Drosophila melanogaster: one gene and its partners. The protein of the gene in region 2 interacts with the protein of the main gene of each other region in a pairwise test. Each region holds a gene or a part of one and is shown on either strand. Other genes may lie near its edges.

Region 1 (3,792 bases), on a different chromosome or scaffold from region 2:
TGAAGAGGCGCGCCAGATGTGTCAATATATACCTGAGATCCTGTTCGTGATGGAGACCTCCGCCAAGGAGAACATGAACGTGGAGGACGCCTTCCGCTGCCTGGCCAACGAACTTAAAGTACGATTCCGGCTATTGTTACCTAAGCTAATGATGTTCCAATTACAGCGCCAACACGATGCCAACAATGTGGAGGAGGTGCCAGAAAACACCATCACCTTGGGCCAGGGAAAGCCTTTAAAGAGTTGCAGCAGCTCATGCAATCTCACCTAGACCTAAATCCGCTCTTTAGTTTGCTTTTACTTTTGTGATCAAATTGTTCTTGTGGCTATATATTAGTATTCTAATGCTTTAACCTAATCCTAGACACTAACTTTTACACAACCATGTATTTATTTTTGACGATAGAGTACAAACAATCTCACACATCAGCGAATCGAGCCAACAATGTCAATTACAAGGCAATGCTCAGAGAGGCAAATACGTCCACTTCTCTATTTGTAATTTGTATTCAATTTGATATGCGACAGTGTCGAAATAAACTCGTTTATTTTGTAATTTTATTGGAAGTATCGTAGTTAAATTGGCTTAGCTCCTAGACATTATCCATATACACGTAGATTTAAATCATCGAGGGACTCCTGTTCGGACGTATTTTACACTAAATAAAATTGGCTTGGCAACAACTTTTCAAACAATTTGGAAACGCTTAAAAATTGTTTATATCAAAATTGGTTTACTTTCTCTAGACAGCTAGTCGTTAATGATTAATTAGCTAATATGTAGCATGTGTGGCGGGTCATTTGTTCTTGATGCGCTGCACGATCCACTCTAATCCTTGATAGAGTCCTTCGCCGGTGAGCGCACAGCAGGCCTGGATGTGCCATTGGTGCTTCTTGATGGAGGTGAGGTCCAGTTGTCGTGAGATTTCCGCCGCCGACATAGAGCCCTTGAGATCCTGCTTATTGGCATAGACCAGCAAACTGGCCTTGCTCAGATCCTCATGTTGCAGCATCCGGTAGAGCTCTTCCCGCGTAACAGCTAACCGTTCCCGGTCCGTGGAGTCGATGACCATGATCACCAGCTCTGTGTTCGTGTAGTAGGTGCTCCAAGCGGCGCGCAGACTCTGCTGACCACCAAGATCCCAGACAAGAAAGTGTATATTCCGCCAGACGACCTCCTCCACGTTGGAACCGATCGTGGGACTTGTGTGGACCACTTCGTTCATCAGGAACTGGTACAGGATGGTGGTTTTGCCCGCGTTGTCCAGACCCACCATCACCAGCTTGTGCTCCTCGTTGCCAAACATCCGCCAGAGCCGCGATAATAACAGTCCCATATTTGAACCTTATTTTTAGCTATATACGTATATAATCAATTGTTGATTATGCTGCAGCTGCTGTTATTGTTGTTGCTGCTTCCACCGATTAGAGATTTGATTTCGAACGATGACGGCGATTGCCTCACACACAGGTTATCGGCTGGCCTGCGTGTGTATGCGTGGTAGACCCGTGTGTGTGGGTGTAAGTGAACGCTGAGCTTTGTTGTTGTTTCCGCAGGGGAAGGCGAAGGCCGTACGGTAAATTATTCACTGATTTAACTATTCAGCTATTCACTCCACACTCTCACACCCTAATTACTGTTGTTGTTTTCGCCAAATGGGAATTTTTTTGGGGGGATTGGTGAGCGATTTTCAGGTGGTTTGCCTTTGGGTGGTTTCCATTCGTTTCGTTGCAGCGGGAAACGCTACTTCGTTTACGCGTCGCAGTGGGTTTAGAACAGCCGTTGTTGATAATTTAATTAACAGAGTTTTAATTAAGAAAGTAAACAGCAGAAGTGATTAATTAATATCACTTGGAATCGATAGTGCTGCTATCGATAACTGCGGGCAGTGTGGGGAAGAAAGTAAAGCTTAATGAGACCGTAACCATTTAGTGCTTAACAACGTTTCTTTTGCATTTCCAAAACAAGTTATTTTTGAATATTGAACCTATTTAAAGAATTATTTTCAAATTTAAAATTTAGATTTAGTCATTACTTATAAATTATTATTATTAACAACACTACCGACGTTACCAGTGTGGCCATCCTCGCGGCAAACATCTGTTCACGGCGGTTGCTGTTGTGTTGTTCTTAACATCTAATTAGCTTCCCACCGGTTGCAATGAAAATAATTTTGAGCCTGCTGCTCCTGGCTCTCTCTATCGCTCAGTTGGACGCCTCAAGGTCAGCCACATCCGACCAGGCTCCCATTGTCGAGTGTCCCGGACGCAGTGTTCCCCAGCTCCGTGCGGAAGCGTCAGAGTCAGAGATCTCGCTGCTATTTTACTACGTGTCCTGGGCCAGCGAAGCACGGCAGGCACGACTGGTCTACAATGGACTGGCCCACTATTACCAGGAGTATGGCTTCTTTGGAGCCATCGATTGCTGGCACTTGCAGTGCAATTGCAGCCGTACTTTGATGCCGGCACCAGGAGTCGCCGGCGCAGGAGGTTATCCTGACAAATGGCCCACGCTGATCGTGCGCTACGGCCAAAAGCAGTTACTCCAGTACCAGGGCTCGTGGAGCTTTGAAGATCTCGCCCGGTTCATGAATAACCTGCTTCAGCCACTGGACCGGGCACACAGTAGTCAGGATCTCGCCGCCATTCGGAAGCACTCGGATGCGGTGGTTTTGGGTCTGCTTGACTCGCCAGACGACAAGGCCTACAATCTTTACTTGGCTGCCGGTCTGCGCTGGCTGGAACTGGATCCGGAGAGGAATATCCGCTTCACCGTGTACTTTGGCAACAGTGCCAGGAAGATGTTGAAGTCCTCGGAGGCCAAGCTGCCCCAGTTTGTAGTTATCGACAGCCGAAATGGAGTTCATACGTTTAATGGTACATCTGGAGTATGGAAGACCATCGACATTCTGCGCTGGGTACGGAGCACACTCAAAAATATGTCGCTGTTCTCCAATGGCTATGGCACTCCTATGACCATCGCCATGAAGGCACGACATGTCCCCGTGCTGGCTATGGGAGTTCGAATGAACCAATATCACCATGCTAGCGTCATGGGCGAGGAGATGGCTTACGCTCAAAAAAAGCAGTCGGAGGGGTGCGAAGACTACTGGAAAAAATTCGATAAACAATCTGAAGACATATCCTCCTCCCTAAATCAAGTTCCCAAGGAGCTGTTTGGGGATGGTGAACAAACCCGGACATGTTACCCGGCCTGGAGTAAAAACAAGACCACACTTAAGAACTATTATCGGATTAATAGGTATCTAAACCACCTATGGAGGCAGTACTCGCACCAGAACCATCCGAGTTATCGAAACGTCCCCCACTTGCTGCGGCTTCACTCCAGAAACCTTTGCCTGGCACACTCACAGCATGGAACGCCGGCCATAAAAATCGGCATTGCCAAAATGGTAACCAAATATGGCCAGCTCATTTGGCAGCACTCGACGGAGCGCGCAGCCCACAATCGGTCGCTGGGCGTGGTGATCTTCGATTCTGTGAAATATAGAGACTATCTACACCAGCTTGGCATTCAGCAAACCCATCAGCAGGTGCAGGTTTTCATCTTGGATGCGGCTGAAGAGTCACTGTATGTTATGCCACAGCAACACACATTCTCCTACGTAGCTCTTAAAGATTTTATACGGCAGTTTTACGCCAGAACATTGCCAAGGACTCACAAAAATGCTCTTGCCATGATGGAATCTGGGTTCAGTAGAAAATACAATAGACAGATGCTGTTGCAGGCAATCCAGCGACCAAATGTCACCAATGTGGTATTTATGCATC
Region 2 (7,674 bases):
CTGCAGCTAAATCCCGGCCAGCTGGCGGATTTCGAGCGCTTCCTGGAGGCCCGTTGTGCCCGCATGCCGTTGCAGCACATCATTGGCGAGTGGGACTTCATGGACATTACGCTGAAGACATCGCCGTCGGTCTTCATTCCACGCCCCGAAACGGAGGAGTTTATGCGCCTGGTGATCGATGATCACAAGAACGCAAAGCACGTCGATCTTTTGGAGGTGGGCTGCGGCTCGGGCGCCATGTCCTTGTCCATGCTACACAGTCTGCCGCAGGTGGTGGCCACTGCCATTGAGCGTAGCAAGGCGGCAACCGTTCTGGCTGCGGAGAATGCCAAAATGCTGGGGCTGCTGAATCGATTTGAGGTACACAACCACACCATGGAGGAGGACAAGTACCTGCCGGAGGCGCTGAAGGACAAGAAGTACGATTTGATCATCTCCAATCCTCCGTATGTGAAAACTGAGGAGTTTCAGTTTCTGCATCCCGAAGTCGTGGTGTAAGTGATGTTATACCAGATGGATGCAGTGCACTAACTATCTTATATCCCCAGGTATGAGAACCTTAATGCCCTGGACGGTGGGTCCGATGGATTGAGGGTGGCTCGACTGGTTTTCGACTTGGCTTGTCGGCACCTGCGTCCCGGTGGCAAGCTCTGGCTGGAACTGGGCAACGACCACCCGCCGATGGTGAAGACCATTATGAATCTGAAGTACGAGGGCCGGCTCAAGTTCATCGCCGGCTACAGTGACCAGTATCAGCGCGAGAGATTCGTTCAGATCGAGAAGGTCTAGGCGAGATTGCGCCATAGACAGGACGGAATGCTATGACTTTGACAATGCAATTAGCTATAACGTTGCCCATGCATTTAGCTGTGATTTGATTTAAGACCAGACATACCTGCACGCTGCCCAGAGACTCACACCTATATAAACAGAATATATAGCGCTATTAATCCTTAAGTTTCGTCTCTGAATCTTTTAGCAACAACCGCAGGCGGTATTACTTCACAAATATACCTGTATAAATTGCACAATGCAATTAGCTGTTTGATTTATGACCATATTATTATCAGTATACAAAAACCACAACGACTTTTACCTAAGGCTTTCTACTGCATTTTTGATCCTATAATAATGGATTAACATGATTTTAAAGATCAATAGGTTAAAAGTATAATGCACCTATAATAACTGGTCACTGATTTAAACTATGGCGATTATGATTTATAACCAGAGGCTTGCTGCCATAAATTGGAGGGTGTTAATGATCATCGCGGATCGAGTATAATGCTGTTTAATCAAACTGATGTATTCTATATCTGCGATAAGCAAAATGCTAACCATATTTTTGGCCTGAAAGATGTGTATCCTGTCAATATATAGAATCAGAATATTTCTATGCAAATTAGAAAGTTTTTGCTTAAAGTTACCACTTTAATGCTTATAGGTGTACTGATTATGAAAACAAGGACACATGTCCACAAGGATTACCATAATTATGAACCCGAGTGCATAAATCCCCCGACTTCGCATCTGAATCTTGTTGTAACCGCTCCGCTGGAGAGCTTTAAGCTCCGGAGCGGATAAAAGCTCCGACAGAGTGGCTCGGAGCAACAAGTGGCTAACTTCCGTTGCCAGTTGGAAGTCGAAACTCGCGCCGGACGAGTCTGCGGAATCCGGGTGCGCGAGTGGAACGCGGATTTAGATTGTCGTAGCTCTTTAATTCAATTGACGATTTCGAGCTGCGATCTCCTTCGTTCGGCTGGTGTGTGTTGTTTCACTTTCAAGTACGCATACATATGTGTAGTATAATTAACAAATGGCTAAATCATAATTAAAGTCGGAGTTTCAGTGGATATCACAATGAGCGCTTGATGAAAGTCAAGAAGAGGGAACTTAAAAAGCGCCGAAACAAAACAAAAACGAGAAACACGTTAAACGAGAAATTGATTTTAAAAATTCTACATAAATTTGACCATATAGATTTGGGTAAATGAATGAATGTGCATATATATGTACATGTATATATATATACATACGCCCAAACTGCGATTTGAAGGCGGTTTGAATGTGGATTGGAAACTTTTAGAAACCAATTAGCCAGATCGTGACATTACTTAATGCATTTATCCGCCCGATCGACGCGTGCAAGTGTGTGCCTGTGTGCGTGAGTGCGTGCGTGCGTAAACATGAATACCGAATTGAATCGAGTTCAAACTTGCGTTCTTTTCGCCGACTGGTTTTCCGGCGAGGCTGGCTTAATCGCCTTGCGTTTGTAATTTTAGCACACTTTCAATATTTATTGTCGGTCCCTGCTCCCCGGCGCAGAAAATGCGAATAACAATCTGAGCAAACAAGATTCGGCAACGAATTTGCAGCTTGCCGCGCTGTGCAAATAAAAGTATATATAAAAGTATGTACATATATACATTTATATATAGCTGGTAATGCCTCCTTTGGCAGCATCAATATGTGCACCTGCTACGTGCAACACCGACTTGCAGCAACAGCCAACCGATGAGCGAAAGTCGCACGCCGATTGTGTTAACAAGTGTGTGGCTGGCTGCTCCCTGCCCGCATTTTAATTCATCATCCGCACCGTGTGCCAAGGCACTGCGATTCCCAATCCGTGGAGCTGTGAACGTTTTTGGCGACCTGCAGGCTAAGCAAGCGATTTATATGCTGCCGCTCACATGGCACAAGGTCCCATCCAAAAACAGCAGCGGCCAAGATAGTAGTTCATATGCACATATTTGGGTTCTTAACAGGTTAATTGTCATTTTATAATGATATGGGTTTAATAGGTTTCCATATCTGATCCAAAACTATACAGAAATGGAAGAAAGTCATCATAGGTGATCTTTTATTTGATAATTTCTTACATAAAGTTACTACTTCTTGTTCCCCATTGTACGTTGTGTACAGTGCGCGACGGCTAAGAAAACGGAGTGAAAATCAAGATAGTCGTTATCTAGTTTAGATGGCCTTTCGCAGTCGGGGACTGGGAAACATTGAAATGCAAATACGCCGCCTCGGTAGTTTCATTTGTGTGTCAAAAATTGTGTGGGGGTGTGGGGGGTTAACCCGGCTTAGACTCTAATCTGATCGATCGGAGTGTGAGAAATGGCCTGCTAATGGAATACTTACCACTTTCCCACACTTTTCAATCGCTTCAGCCGAGTGTGTCACCTGTGCGAGCCCATTAATACCCAAGGATGAGCTGGACAAACGAAAGTTAGTTGCGATCGCGTGAAAAGGGAAACCGGACAGTCGGTTTTTTGAGTGCGGATACAAAGTCTACATGTGGCACAACGACAACAGCATCGGCCAGTAATTTAAATGCTTCGCGGCGGCAATTGAAAGGGCCAGCAATTAACCACGACTACTGCAGCTGCGAGGCATAGTGGAAAATCACTTTTATAGACGTACATACATAACTCTATATATACATAGAGTTAGCTCCTGCAGCAAAATGAAGAACCGCCAGCGAACGCGCCGAATATCGCTAAATGAAAACCACAACAGATACATGGGCAGCGGCGGCATCGATGTACAAATAGTTACCAATACAAAGGAGCCCAATCAAGTCAATTTAAATTCATCGTCAGCCACGACGACCTCAGCGGAGGCTGCTCTGCCCGCTTCGCTTCCACTTGCTCAGATAGCGCAGCAGCCACATACCCATCCCCATCCCCATCCCAATCCCCATCTCCACCAGCAACACCAGCTGATTGTGACGCCCACAACGATGACGGGCAAGTATCATCCAGCGCACGCCAAGCTGCGAAGATGCAAATCGACGCCGAGTCTCAATTGCGATGGCATGGCGGAGCCCATGGAGGAGGACCAGCTCCATCGCTTTGCAGCATGCTCACGTAACCCCGCCGCGGAGGCTCAGCAGCATGCACAGCCATCGTGCAACAGCAGCAGCAGCAGCAGCGACGGCAGCTGCAACAGCAACAAGTGCAGCAGCAACATCTGCGGTGCGCAGCCAACAACTCCGGAGTCATTGCGCTTCGGATGCGCTCACTACAAGCGGCGGGCCATGTTCGTGGTAAGTGCAACAGGCAGTCCAACTCCATTCATATTATCTATGGATGCTTTTCCAAGCATTACATAAAAGGAAAAGCCCCAGAAAAGTTATAAAAGTTATACACTTGAACTTCTTTGATATGTATATCAATACAAATTTTAATCCTTTTTTAGTGTATCGTAGTATCTATAACCATTCTTAAGATTAGTAGATAGATGTTCGTAGAAAGACTAGACGGATCCATGTATCTAGCAGTCTTACTTGTAGTGAGATTAGTTTATTCAAACCTCAAATGTGAAACCAGTCAACTTATGTGATATAAGAACAAACTTCAATTTTGAAAGTTCTTTTTTTATTTTATACGGGTATAGTTCAATTCCTGGGTCATCAGATAAAGAATTATGCAATTGGAACCCCTATGTCATGATTAGAAAGCGGATCAGTCATTTCACTTTTATAAAATGAATCCTAAAAATACATTGAAATAAATTCAAAGTGATAAAGCCATTAAACATTTCACCCATTTGGAAAATTTTCAAGAAGATTATGATGGCGCCTCTAAATGGCATTTGTATGCCTATTTATCCATCTATCTATCTATGTGTGTGTGTGTGTCTATCCAACACAGCTACCTTCCTGAAAATGGGCGCATTTAACCTTTATTTATTCGTTCCTAAACAAATAAAGTGGCTAAACTCTAAACAGACACCTTTGGCGAAGATTCTTTTGTGTCTGTCTGCTGACTAGATTTTGAATTCAATTGGAGGGCATCGCTATTTGCACGGCAAGTGTTTGGCTTGTGTGGACAGCTTGACGATGTCCGGCATCCAAAAAACTAACTGGTCAGCATGCTCCGCTGAGCAGGAACTGAGCAGGAGGCGAGTGGCCACTGGCCAGTTAACACCTCCATTCGCCATTCATCTGGGCAAACAATGCGTTTGTCTTGATCGCTCGCGTTTGGATAACAAATTATGGGGCATCTAAAAATGTTGTGTGTGCATATAAAGCAATCGTAGCACGGCTATATTCAGGTTCTTTACCTTAACAATTAGTAGAGCCAGCAGACATAATTATCGTAAGGTGATAAGTACAGAAGTTCGAAGGTGGGAAAAGTAACTCAGTGCTGGGGAAAGTGGTAACCATTTCATGTATAAAGTATCTCATGCAGAGAAGACTGCAGCTGCACTTGATTAGATAGATTTGTTTGTGAATGACCTGGATTATTAAATAAAGAAAAAGAAAGTTAAATGTAAATATTTAAATACTTATAATTCCAACAGTAGTGAGCGCTTATTTGTTGTTGAAAAGCAGCCAATTCGCGATATGAATTATTAATTCCCCAAAAATTCTGTATTATGCGCTATGGCCTTACAATACTTTCCAAAAAATGTCACGTAAATCCGTACACACGCTTCAATCTGTCCCACATTTTAATAAAATTCGAATGTAGAGGTTTTTGCTTTCGTCTGTGCACCGCGAGAAATTCGGATAAGCGAGGGTTTTGTGCACTAATGAGGTGCCCATTGAGTGTTGAATCAGCTGGGTTATTTTATAGTCAAATATTTATTTTCGCCCGACAGTGCGTGAAATAAATGTATACATGAATGTGGACATAAGCTGAGAGCAGTATGTGCAATCCCCCAAGTGGAGCAATGCCCCATGGATATCGCCTGTTCCCGCGAATCTTGTATCAATTTGTGTTAGAAGCTTTGTTTCGTCTTGGCTAAATAAATTTGAGATGTCTGGAGTTAGCCAATTGCAGATGCAAACGATCATTAAAATACGATCGTTAGTGAAGCACAGCAATGAAAGCCGGGGGGAATGACAAAGAAACCGGATTCGAAGACTCTTCTCCGGTTCGGTTCTGTACTTCGAGTGTTATCATCGCAGCAGCAGCAGAGTTGAAATAAATACTTGTATACGAAAAAACTGTTGTTAAGTTATAAATAATTCTCAAAGATAGTGGAGATAGATGTGTGCGCGAGGCTGGAGGCAGATACAAATGGCTGGGTGTTGGCTGTAACTAAGCCGAACTCGAGGATACACAAGATAATTAAGGGCATAAATTAACTTATTTTCAAACTTTATCCCCAAGACAAAACTGATAGAACTATATCATGTAGTTCGAGCTGTGCATCGACAGGTGAACTAATTAGCAGCCACCTAATTAAACGACACGAGTACCTTTGGCATCTTTACAATCGGATTGGGATTCACCCGCTGATTTGACTCGAAATTCGTACAAAATTCGATTCAGTTTCAAGTGCCTTGTTTATGATAATGCTAAGTTATTGCCTTTGGCATGTAGACGTCACTAGTAGATTTGTTTTTTAGTCGGTTTCCAGGCAGATTTCTTAAATTAGCAACTCCATTTGGGGAGTTAGGAGTCGTGCTAATTGCCGCTCGATAATAGGTTTTTCGTAGTCCTTGACTGAGGGGTGTAGTCCATCGGCAGGTGTGGCGGGGAGCAATCTCAGCTCCATTTAAAGTGGAATTTTTTCGAGCAGCGATTTCTTTTCAGCACTAATTTGATCTGATACTGATCACGCAACTATATCTTTCTCAGACCCCCTGCTGCAACAAGTTCTACAAGTGCCGATTTTGCCACGACGAGAACGAGACGCATCACTTCGATCGCAAAACGCTCACCGAACTAATATGCTCCGAGTGCAATACGCGGCAAACGGTGCGGGAGCAGTGCCTCAATTGCGGCGTGAGATTTGGTAAGGTAAGATATCCATCCAGGTGTCCAAAAATCACAGCAAAACCCTACTAGTAATATCATTTTGATGTACTTACAGTACACCTGCCTGATCTGCAACCTCTTCGATGATGCGGACAAGCAGCAGTACCATTGTCATGGATGTGGGATTTGTCGCATTGGCGGTGCGGAGAACTTCTTCCACTGCGAGGTGTGCAACATGTGCCTACCTATTCAGCTGAAGATCGATGGCCACCGGGTGAGTTGGTACTACATTTGGCACTTCATTGGGCTTGATTAAGATTTGGCCTGTAAGTGGGAATGCTGACCTCCGCGATTCGAAAGCAAATCAAAGAAACACATTAACTTTTTTTTTTTTTTGTCAATTCATTACCAAAACCGGTTGCCTAATTGCTATATGTAGCGATATATGATCTGCGATCTGCAATCTGGGATCCAGTTGAGTGGATATGAATGTCAAATGTGCTGAAGCAATGACTTCATTAATTGACAGCGAATTGGGCCAGAGACTGGCATGGCTGATTGCTAAATCCTTGCTAATTGACAACGTGTCTATTTTCCCGTAGTGCGTGGAGAACATCTCGCGATCGCACTGCCCCGTGTGCCTGGGCGACATCCACACTTCGCGCATACCCTGCCACATTCCCGACTGCGGACACCTGCTGCACAAGATGTGCTTCGACCAGCTGCTGGCCTCCGGCCACTACACCTGTCCCACCTGCCAGACCTCGCTGATCGATATGACGGCGCTGTGGGTATACTTGGACGACCAGGCGGAGCGCATGCCGGTGCCACTGAAGTACGAGAATCAGCGAGTGCACATATTCTGCAACGATTGTCACAAGGTACGACTAGATATACATAATACTAACATTCATGAAAAGCTCTTATAACCTTATCCAATTCATTACAGACTTCAAAA
Region 3 (4,827 bases), 1.5 Mb from region 2:
CAGCACTTGACCATCGAAGATGCCGAAATCATCAATGAAAACTGGCCACATAATAAACCCGGCTCTATAGACTTTGTGAGAAGTTTAATTAAATATAATATTAATTTGGGTGCTTATGACGACAAGGGAAAGTTGGTTGCCTGGTGTCTGCGGTAAGCCATCGAACTGTATATAAATGTATATAAAAACTTATTAATTAATTAACTTTCCTGTTTAGATTGCCGATTGGATCCCTGGGTCTGCTGCAGGTTCTGGAGTCACATAAACGCCTTGGTCTCGGCAGCTTGCTGGTGAAGTCGATGGCTAAGAAGATTTCCGCAGCGGGAGATCAAGTTTTGGCGCCAGTAGTAACGAAGAACACCCCCTCGAGGAGCATGTTCGAGAAACTGGGTTTCCGTGCTATAGACAATACATACTGGGCTGCCTAGCAACTGAGAAGAAGCCAAAAACTAACATAAATATTATTAAAATAAATATAGTGTAGGAAATGATTGGTTTTTTAATAATAAAGAAGAGTGAATCAGCTCATTCAATTATAGCTGAGCACCCATGAATTTGAGCTTGAATTAAATTGAGATGGATTGTAATGTAAATTTAATATAATATATTGGATAAAATTGGTGAATATAAAATGATATAATCTTGAAATGTTAATGATTTCAAAGGAAGTTATTTACGCTTCCTTTGCACGTTTCATTTTTAATATTTTTTATAATGAAACTTGTGCTTAAATTGTCAAGTTAAATTTCCGGATAATATTTACTTTAATGGTCGATGGTTTTTATTATGATCAGTTTACCATAAACTGAAGCTGAAACTAACTAACTTAGAGTTAATAACTTACATGATAGATAAAAAACTTACACAACTACCATTAACTATTTTTGGTAACTGGCATTACAGAAGCAAAAATGAGTCATCGAATCTAAAATAACTCATAAAGCAAGTAACGCTTAAATATAATTTACGACGGGCTTGTACGACGGCATTATCTATTACCAATAAAACCCATCTCATATTTGTTTAGTTCTGATGGCCCAACAGATGAGCACAAATCTTATCCTAGCGCTGGGAAATCCCACCACGACTCCATCACCGTGTCAATGTGCCGCGAACTTTCCAATGACGAGACCGAGAATACGCACCAAACATAATGACTATAGTATATAGCTAATAAATATTTAAACTATTTACTCACCGGTTGCGAGAGAATATCAGTATGCACGTCACGGGTTTGAGATACATACGTACGTACATACATGCATAGATACAAATGGATGGGAGAGGGCTGCCATGGATTTCCGCAACAAAGTTCGCAGAATGCTGATATGAATGGGCGGGGGGCAGTACATGAGTACGTGAGAAAGTACCGATCGATGAAGATCAATAACAAGTGCAGACACGGGTCAGCCATGTAAACAAAGCCGGGGTATAACCAGTGACTCGTCGACGAAACCTCTCCCAGATCCAAGCTCGCCAAGATCCGAGAGCAGCTGGGGATGCAGAGCGCGAGAGATCGGGGACTTGAAGGAGCGTTTTTGCTTGATAACAAGTTTCCGATTCCAGTTTTATAAAGATGCGCGCTCAGCGCCAATCATTCAGTCTGGCTTTAACAACTCGCACAGCCACATCGCGTTTGCCTCTAAAAAAAAAAAAAAAAATATATATATATATATATATATATATAAAGTTCGTTCTGTGTGTTGCGTTCGAGATTAACAAAAAGAAAATTACAAAATGTGGCGCTTGCTTTTGGCACTTTTGCTCGTGAGTTCGGTGTGCTGTGAATCGGAACTATTTCGTGATGACCTGAGGACCCCGGAAACGATGGCCTACATCAATGGACTGATGCAGCGGCGGCATCAGATGCAACAGGAGGCGCAGCAGCACATTCAGGCGATACCGCCTGCGGTGCCCCTTCAATCGCCCGGCCTTGTGAACGGCCTTGGCAACCAGAATGACCCTGCGTTGAATCGCATATCCGGCACTTCGGTGAAACCTTCCAACCTTCCGGCTGCCTACTCCAACGGCTATGTGGATCTGGCCACCTCTGATCGGATTGCGAACAGTGTGCTGAACTTTGCCAACATTCTGGGCCAGCATTTGGCCAACGGTAAAACCCAGATATACTCTCCCCTGAGCATTGTACACTCGCTGGCTCTGCTGCTCCTGGGCGCCAAGGGTCGCAGTTACGAGGAGTTGTCCACGGTCTTCGATATTCCGGACACGTCCAGGCTGCACGAACAGTTCGGCCTGATGCTGCAGGATCTGCAACAGCCCACCAGGGAGGCGATCTCCGCAGGACGACCGCTGACCGATTGGCGGGCGAGCAGCGCGATGAGATCCAATCGACGGGCCCAGCGACCCGGTGCTCATGAGGTGCACCTGGCCAATGGACTGTTCACACAGACCGGCTACACACTCAATCCCGACTACAGGTGAGCCGAGCAGCGGATAATTATCCGGCTGCAAACTGGAACTATAGCGATATCTGGTTGGGAATGGGTGCTGGGAAATGCCAAACGATTAGCGATCGCCTTGAGGTTTTACACCGTGAAAAACTGAAGGCCATGCGGGCTAAAGTGATCTCCTTTTCTGAATGCCAAGTGAGGGAAACAGGTTCATTGTACCAGCAAAATGATCTCACCCATTATCATCAAGCGTTTAGTGTCTCTTGATGGTGGTGCTCCAAAAGGAAGTATTTATTTTATATTCGAAGATAATATACAACGAGAAAATATTAGAATATATTTTTCTGTGTAGAAATGAGCGTGTAATTCCACTTATATTTATGAATCTTTAAAGCCCAAGCTTTCATTGAGAAATATATATGTACGTACGTACGTATAAAGTTTAGAATATAAATGGGAACCATTGACAAACAAATTTAGTAAGAACTTTTAGTGCGATTGTTTTTATGTAGAGAACTTGAATAAAATTAAATCGGAATTGGAATTGGAATTATCAGTTAATCAAATATTTAATTAGAAACCTTAGGTCAAATAGTAGGTACAATGAATTGCCAAAAATTTGGCAAATAAAAAGCACTGATAAGAATGGATTAACTTAAAAACATAACTAAGACATTTAATTATTTATTTATTCTTCAATTATAGCTGATCAAACATTGCAAAAAAAGCGGAAAAAAACTACTTTCCCAAGTTATTATTTAGCTCACCAGATATTGCAATTCCAACCCATCCCCAGTTCCCCAATACTATCGCTCCACTTTGCACAACGTTGTTGGCATACTAATAGCTGCGCCTTGTTGATTTATTACTCATGAGCTCCACTTTTGTGCAATTCCAGACGGGTGATCGTCGAGGTCTACGCCTCGGATCTGCAGATTCAGGATTTCGAGGGCAGTCCGGCGACAGCACGATACAATATCAATGCTTATGTGGCGCAGCACACAAAGAATCACATCGAGAACATCATCGCCAGCGATATTCCGCAGACCACCAGGATGATTCTGGCCAACGCATTGTACTTTAAGGCATTCTGGGAAACGGACTTTATAGAGTCAGCCACACGTCCGGATAACTTCTATCCGAATGGCGAGGGAACGGAGCCGGTGATGAGGGTGCAGATGATGGCCACCGGTGGTGCATATCCGTATCACGAGGATCACGAGCTGGGCTGCAAGATCATTGGACTGCCGTACAGGGGAAATCTGAGCACCATGTACATCATCCAGCCGTTTAAGTCGTCGGTGAGGGAGCTAATGGCACTGCAGAAACGTCTGACGGCGGATAAGATCGAGAGCATGATCAGCCGAATGTACAGACGGGCCGCTCTGGTGGCATTCCCAAAGATGCATCTTACGGAGTCGGTGAACTTGAAGACAGTCATGCAGCGAATGGGGCTGGGCGGCATCTTTAGCGCGGTGCAGAATGATCTCTCGCTCATCGCCACCAACGAGGCCACGAGGACGAATGCGCTGGGCGGCAACAGCCTGCAGAATCTGGAGGCACAGCGCAGAGCCGGAACGGGTGGAGCACGTTCCGATCTGGTGGTGGATGACATTGTTCACAAAGTGGACTTCACCGTCAACGAGCAGGGCACGGAGGCGGCGGCGTCTTCGGTCACATACCTCAAGAAATCCGGTCCCGATGTCCTCTTCCGCGGAGACACTCCATTCATGGTCCTTGTGCGCCACGATCCCACGAAACTGGTGCTCTTCTACGGACTCATAAATGAGCCCCCGGCGGCCGCTTAGTTTCTAGGATCATAAGTTATTAAGCTTTAGCACCTAAGTTCGTTGACTTTATAGTTAGGAAACTAATAAATCATTCACAATGATGAAAAATAAATTAAAACGTAAATTATGAAAATTTGTATTGGTTTTTGTTGCTGTTGAATCTTTTCACATTATCCTATGTACCGTACAGCAGGCAGATTAAACAATGCCCACAAATGTTCAAGGCGCTAAGTTTCTACAAATCATTTAAATTTAAAAAACAACCGCCAATCAACCGGTTGCGGTTAAAAGCTCTGTTAAACGGAGATGCTGATTATTAGCGGGTAACATGTTTCGTTTAACGGAACAGCTGTTCATTTAGTCGGCAGTTATCGCTTAAGCCGCATGTTATCGATATCTTCAATTATTTTGTATTCTTTTTCGCAATAAAAAGTGTATACTTTAGAAATAAAGCTTTAAATAAGTTTAAATTGATTCGAAATGATAGCCCTACCCGACACAGATAGCGAGGATGAGCTGCCACCCGGCTGGGAGGAACGTGCCACCGATGACGGCACCGTTTGCTATGTGAAGTAAGTCAAAAGTCCAGTGGAGTCGTAAACATTGTCTGATATTTTTTAATTGCA
Region 4 (2,627 bases), on a different chromosome or scaffold from region 2:
TTGCTTGCTGCAATAGAAACTATCCTAGCTAGCCATCGCCCACTGTGCACCTGTATTGCGAGGGGCGTTGGAGGCACTATGATCATCTCGGATCGTGTTGAACATGACCAGCTTGACATTCATAACTCATCCTCGGCAGCGTGAGAGGAATAGGGACAGACTGCTGCATTCCTACATCAATTTGTCAGTGCAGTCATTAGACATTTGACTCAACGGCTTGATGATCATCATTGGCGGGATTATGACTGCCACCTGACCATGATCATGTCTGGCTGGCCAACTGACTTACTCACCAGCTAACTGAATGTGGCAAGTGCCGCTTGACCTTTGCGGCAGCCGAACAGATGTTTCTTGAACAGGTCCGGCCAAAAGGCGGTAATGCCTGAGCCGGGGCGTTCCGTTGCCAGTTGAGCAAATGTCAGTTACCGCCGAAGTAGAAATGGAGGTGGAGGTGGAAGTAAAGCCCCAAATGTCCCACCGCCCAATGCTACGTGAGATGGTTAACTTCGATTGCGGTATTGTGTGAGAGCAAGAGACGGCGCTTGTTTGTTTTTTGGTATTTGGTGTTTTTATTTGGCTATTCAGGTGATGAGGATCGTATCAAGTGGCAGCATCGTGGATCGGATGGGCGGCTCTATCCGGACTTCTTGTTGAACAGCAGGGACAGGAGCTGTTGCTTGATTGGCTTAGTGGTGGTGGTGTCCGTGGTGTAGGTGTAGGTGGGGTAGGTCGGGGTGGTAGTATAGGTGTACGTCGTCGTCGTGGGCGAAGAGGGCGTTGTGGGAGTGCTGGTTGTAGTTGCGGTAGATGCCATTGCGATGGCCAGGACAGCGGAGAAACAGACGAGGACAGCGAAGAACTTCATGTTGATTGGATTTTTTGGGCTTTTAGGATTGCTGGCTGGCTGTTGCTTATCGACGGACGAGCTGCTGAACTCTGAGTGTGTCTTTCGCTGGTCCAGGCCTCACTATTTATACCCATATTTTGACTGCGGCAGTCGTAGTATTCCCTGTAATGTTTGCACAAATGGTTCCTTTACCGTTTGCTACATTGCTAGCTTTCCCCCACCAATGTTTACCGACCAACTCATTGTGAAATGCATCCAATGTTTGATCCCCTTCCATTTTCCGAAAAATAAAAGTTTTTCGGGTTGGGAGTGTCAATGACTTGGTATTCTTATTAGCTAACTATCCTAGAATATATGCCGTTCGTAGCTACTGGGCCACTCCATCGAGAAGGCAAAGTCCGGAAGTGTGGCAAGGAACTCCAGGCTCAACGCATCCCGCTTATCATGTGGACTGACATAGTGTCCAGAGACGCCCATCTCAAAGACGGGTTCATTGAAGTTGCCATCGTCCTTCTAAGAATCAGTTAGTTAGTATAGTTATCAGAACGACCCATTAAATACGCACAGAAAGTTCCACGAAGAATTCGATGGGAGTGTTATCAATACCGTAGGTTAACATGACCTCCAGAGGAGGCCTGTAAGTGGCCGGATTATCCAGCATTGCGGGAGCAAACGTCCATCGGAGTAGTTTTACACCATCCAGTGGCTTGAAGAACAGACCCATATTTGGCGGACCAGTTAGCCGGAACTCATAGCGCACCTGATAGCCACCGGACAGAACTGTCTTGCTAAGGAACTCCAAGACCGTTGGATAAGGCAGTTCCACGGGCTCCTCTCGAGCAAGCCAAAGTGCATGCTCCCGGGCACTACAATATCGGTAGCAGGGAATACCGCACATCAGCTCGGAGTCGCAATCCTCGCCCAGGCGTACCAGGTTGGTCAGGTTCATGTGATCGCGCAGAGGTGCCTCTTTGTTTCGATCCCCCAGATGGAAGTAGTAGCCAGAATCCTCGTGGCTGATGGAACCATTGTACTCGAAAAATTTGCGATGCACTTGCTGCTCCGACAAAGAATAGAACTTAGTCGTCTTTCAAAGGATGCTTATTAGTGTTTCCCTTACCATGAAGTCGGCACGCATGACATTTGTTTTGGGCCGATACGGGAATCCGACATCCGAGACGGCAATCATGCAGAAAATAAACATAACCAGTGCCAGACCACCCAGCATGCAGTTCGGTCGCCGAAAGACATTGATTAAAGGAGCCTAAGTGAAACTGATTAAGTAAAGTAGTCAATAAATGTGAATAACTTTCTTACAGCAAAAGATAACGCCAAAATTGTGCCAAAACCACATAGAGCGCCGATTAGTATATCCGGATTGGTGGAGACGCCAAAGCGACCAGTCATCGGAATGAGAATAAGTATGAACATGTGGAACAAGTAGGCGTGGTAAATGAAGGGTATAATCTGGAAAACAATCAGCACCAGTGACCACAGATAACCTAAAGTGTTGGCATGAATCATTAAAAGTTCTCCACGAATATATAAGCTAACTTACCGCGACAATGGAGACGGGTCAGTAGGTTAATGATCAGAGCAGCAACGTAGAAAATGAGAGAGATCAGAAATAGATAGGCACTACGGTATTTAAGAGCCGTTGCACCCAAACACAAGATGGCCAAAAGGACACAGTTCGCGTGACCCACAATATGCAAGTAATAAGTATGGGGGATCTTGTTCTGCAGAGGATAGCTTAGTATAACAAAATAACTTCGTTAAC

The links.
Region 1: the proteins of Rchy1 (region 2) and Arl5 interact in a two-hybrid assay, tested with the Drosophila melanogaster proteins (one large-scale study listed by BioGRID).
Region 3: the proteins of Rchy1 (region 2) and Spn28Dc interact in a two-hybrid assay, tested with the Drosophila melanogaster proteins (one large-scale study listed by BioGRID).
Region 4: the proteins of Rchy1 (region 2) and CG13159 interact in a two-hybrid assay, tested with the Drosophila melanogaster proteins (one large-scale study listed by BioGRID).

What each region holds. Positions count from the first base shown.
Region 1 is NT_037436.4:8,297,954-8,301,745, forward strand, and holds Arl5 (ADP-ribosylation factor-like 5), read right to left. Parts: upstream 1,887-3,792; 5' UTR 1,338-1,886; coding exon 798-1,337; 3' UTR 548-797; downstream 1-547. Other genes in the region: Rab19, read left to right, coding at 1-118, 167-271; CG13671 (uncharacterized protein), read left to right, coding at 2,163-3,792.
Region 2 is NT_033779.5:6,459,639-6,467,312, reverse strand, and holds the start of Rchy1 (ring finger and CHY zinc finger domain containing 1), read left to right. Parts: upstream 1-1,643; 5' UTR 1,644-1,784; intron 1,785-3,173; 5' UTR 3,174-3,469; coding exon 3,470-4,051; intron 4,052-6,596; coding exon 6,597-6,758; intron 6,759-6,831; coding exon 6,832-6,990; intron 6,991-7,318; coding exon 7,319-7,597; intron 7,598-7,665; coding exon 7,666-7,674. Other genes in the region: HemK1 (HemK methyltransferase 1), read left to right, coding at 1-494, 549-789.
Region 3 is NT_033779.5:8,004,043-8,008,869, reverse strand, and holds Spn28Dc (serpin 28Dc), read left to right. Parts: upstream 1-1,659; 5' UTR 1,660-1,737; coding exon 1,738-2,438; intron 2,439-3,309; coding exon 3,310-4,219; 3' UTR 4,220-4,322; downstream 4,323-4,827. Other genes in the region: CG12560 (uncharacterized protein), read left to right, coding at 1-152, 218-428; Wwox (WW domain containing oxidoreductase), read left to right, coding at 4,682-4,773. UniProt on the Drosophila melanogaster protein: Serine protease inhibitor which is required for pupal viability and plays an essential role in regulating the melanization reaction.
Region 4 is NT_033778.4:12,373,607-12,376,233, reverse strand, and holds CG13159 (uncharacterized protein), read right to left. Parts: upstream 949-2,627; 5' UTR 866-948; coding exon 635-865; 3' UTR 556-634; downstream 1-555. Other genes in the region: CG13160 (uncharacterized protein), read right to left, coding at 1,193-1,360, 1,413-1,904, 1,968-2,111, 2,165-2,349, 2,406-2,586.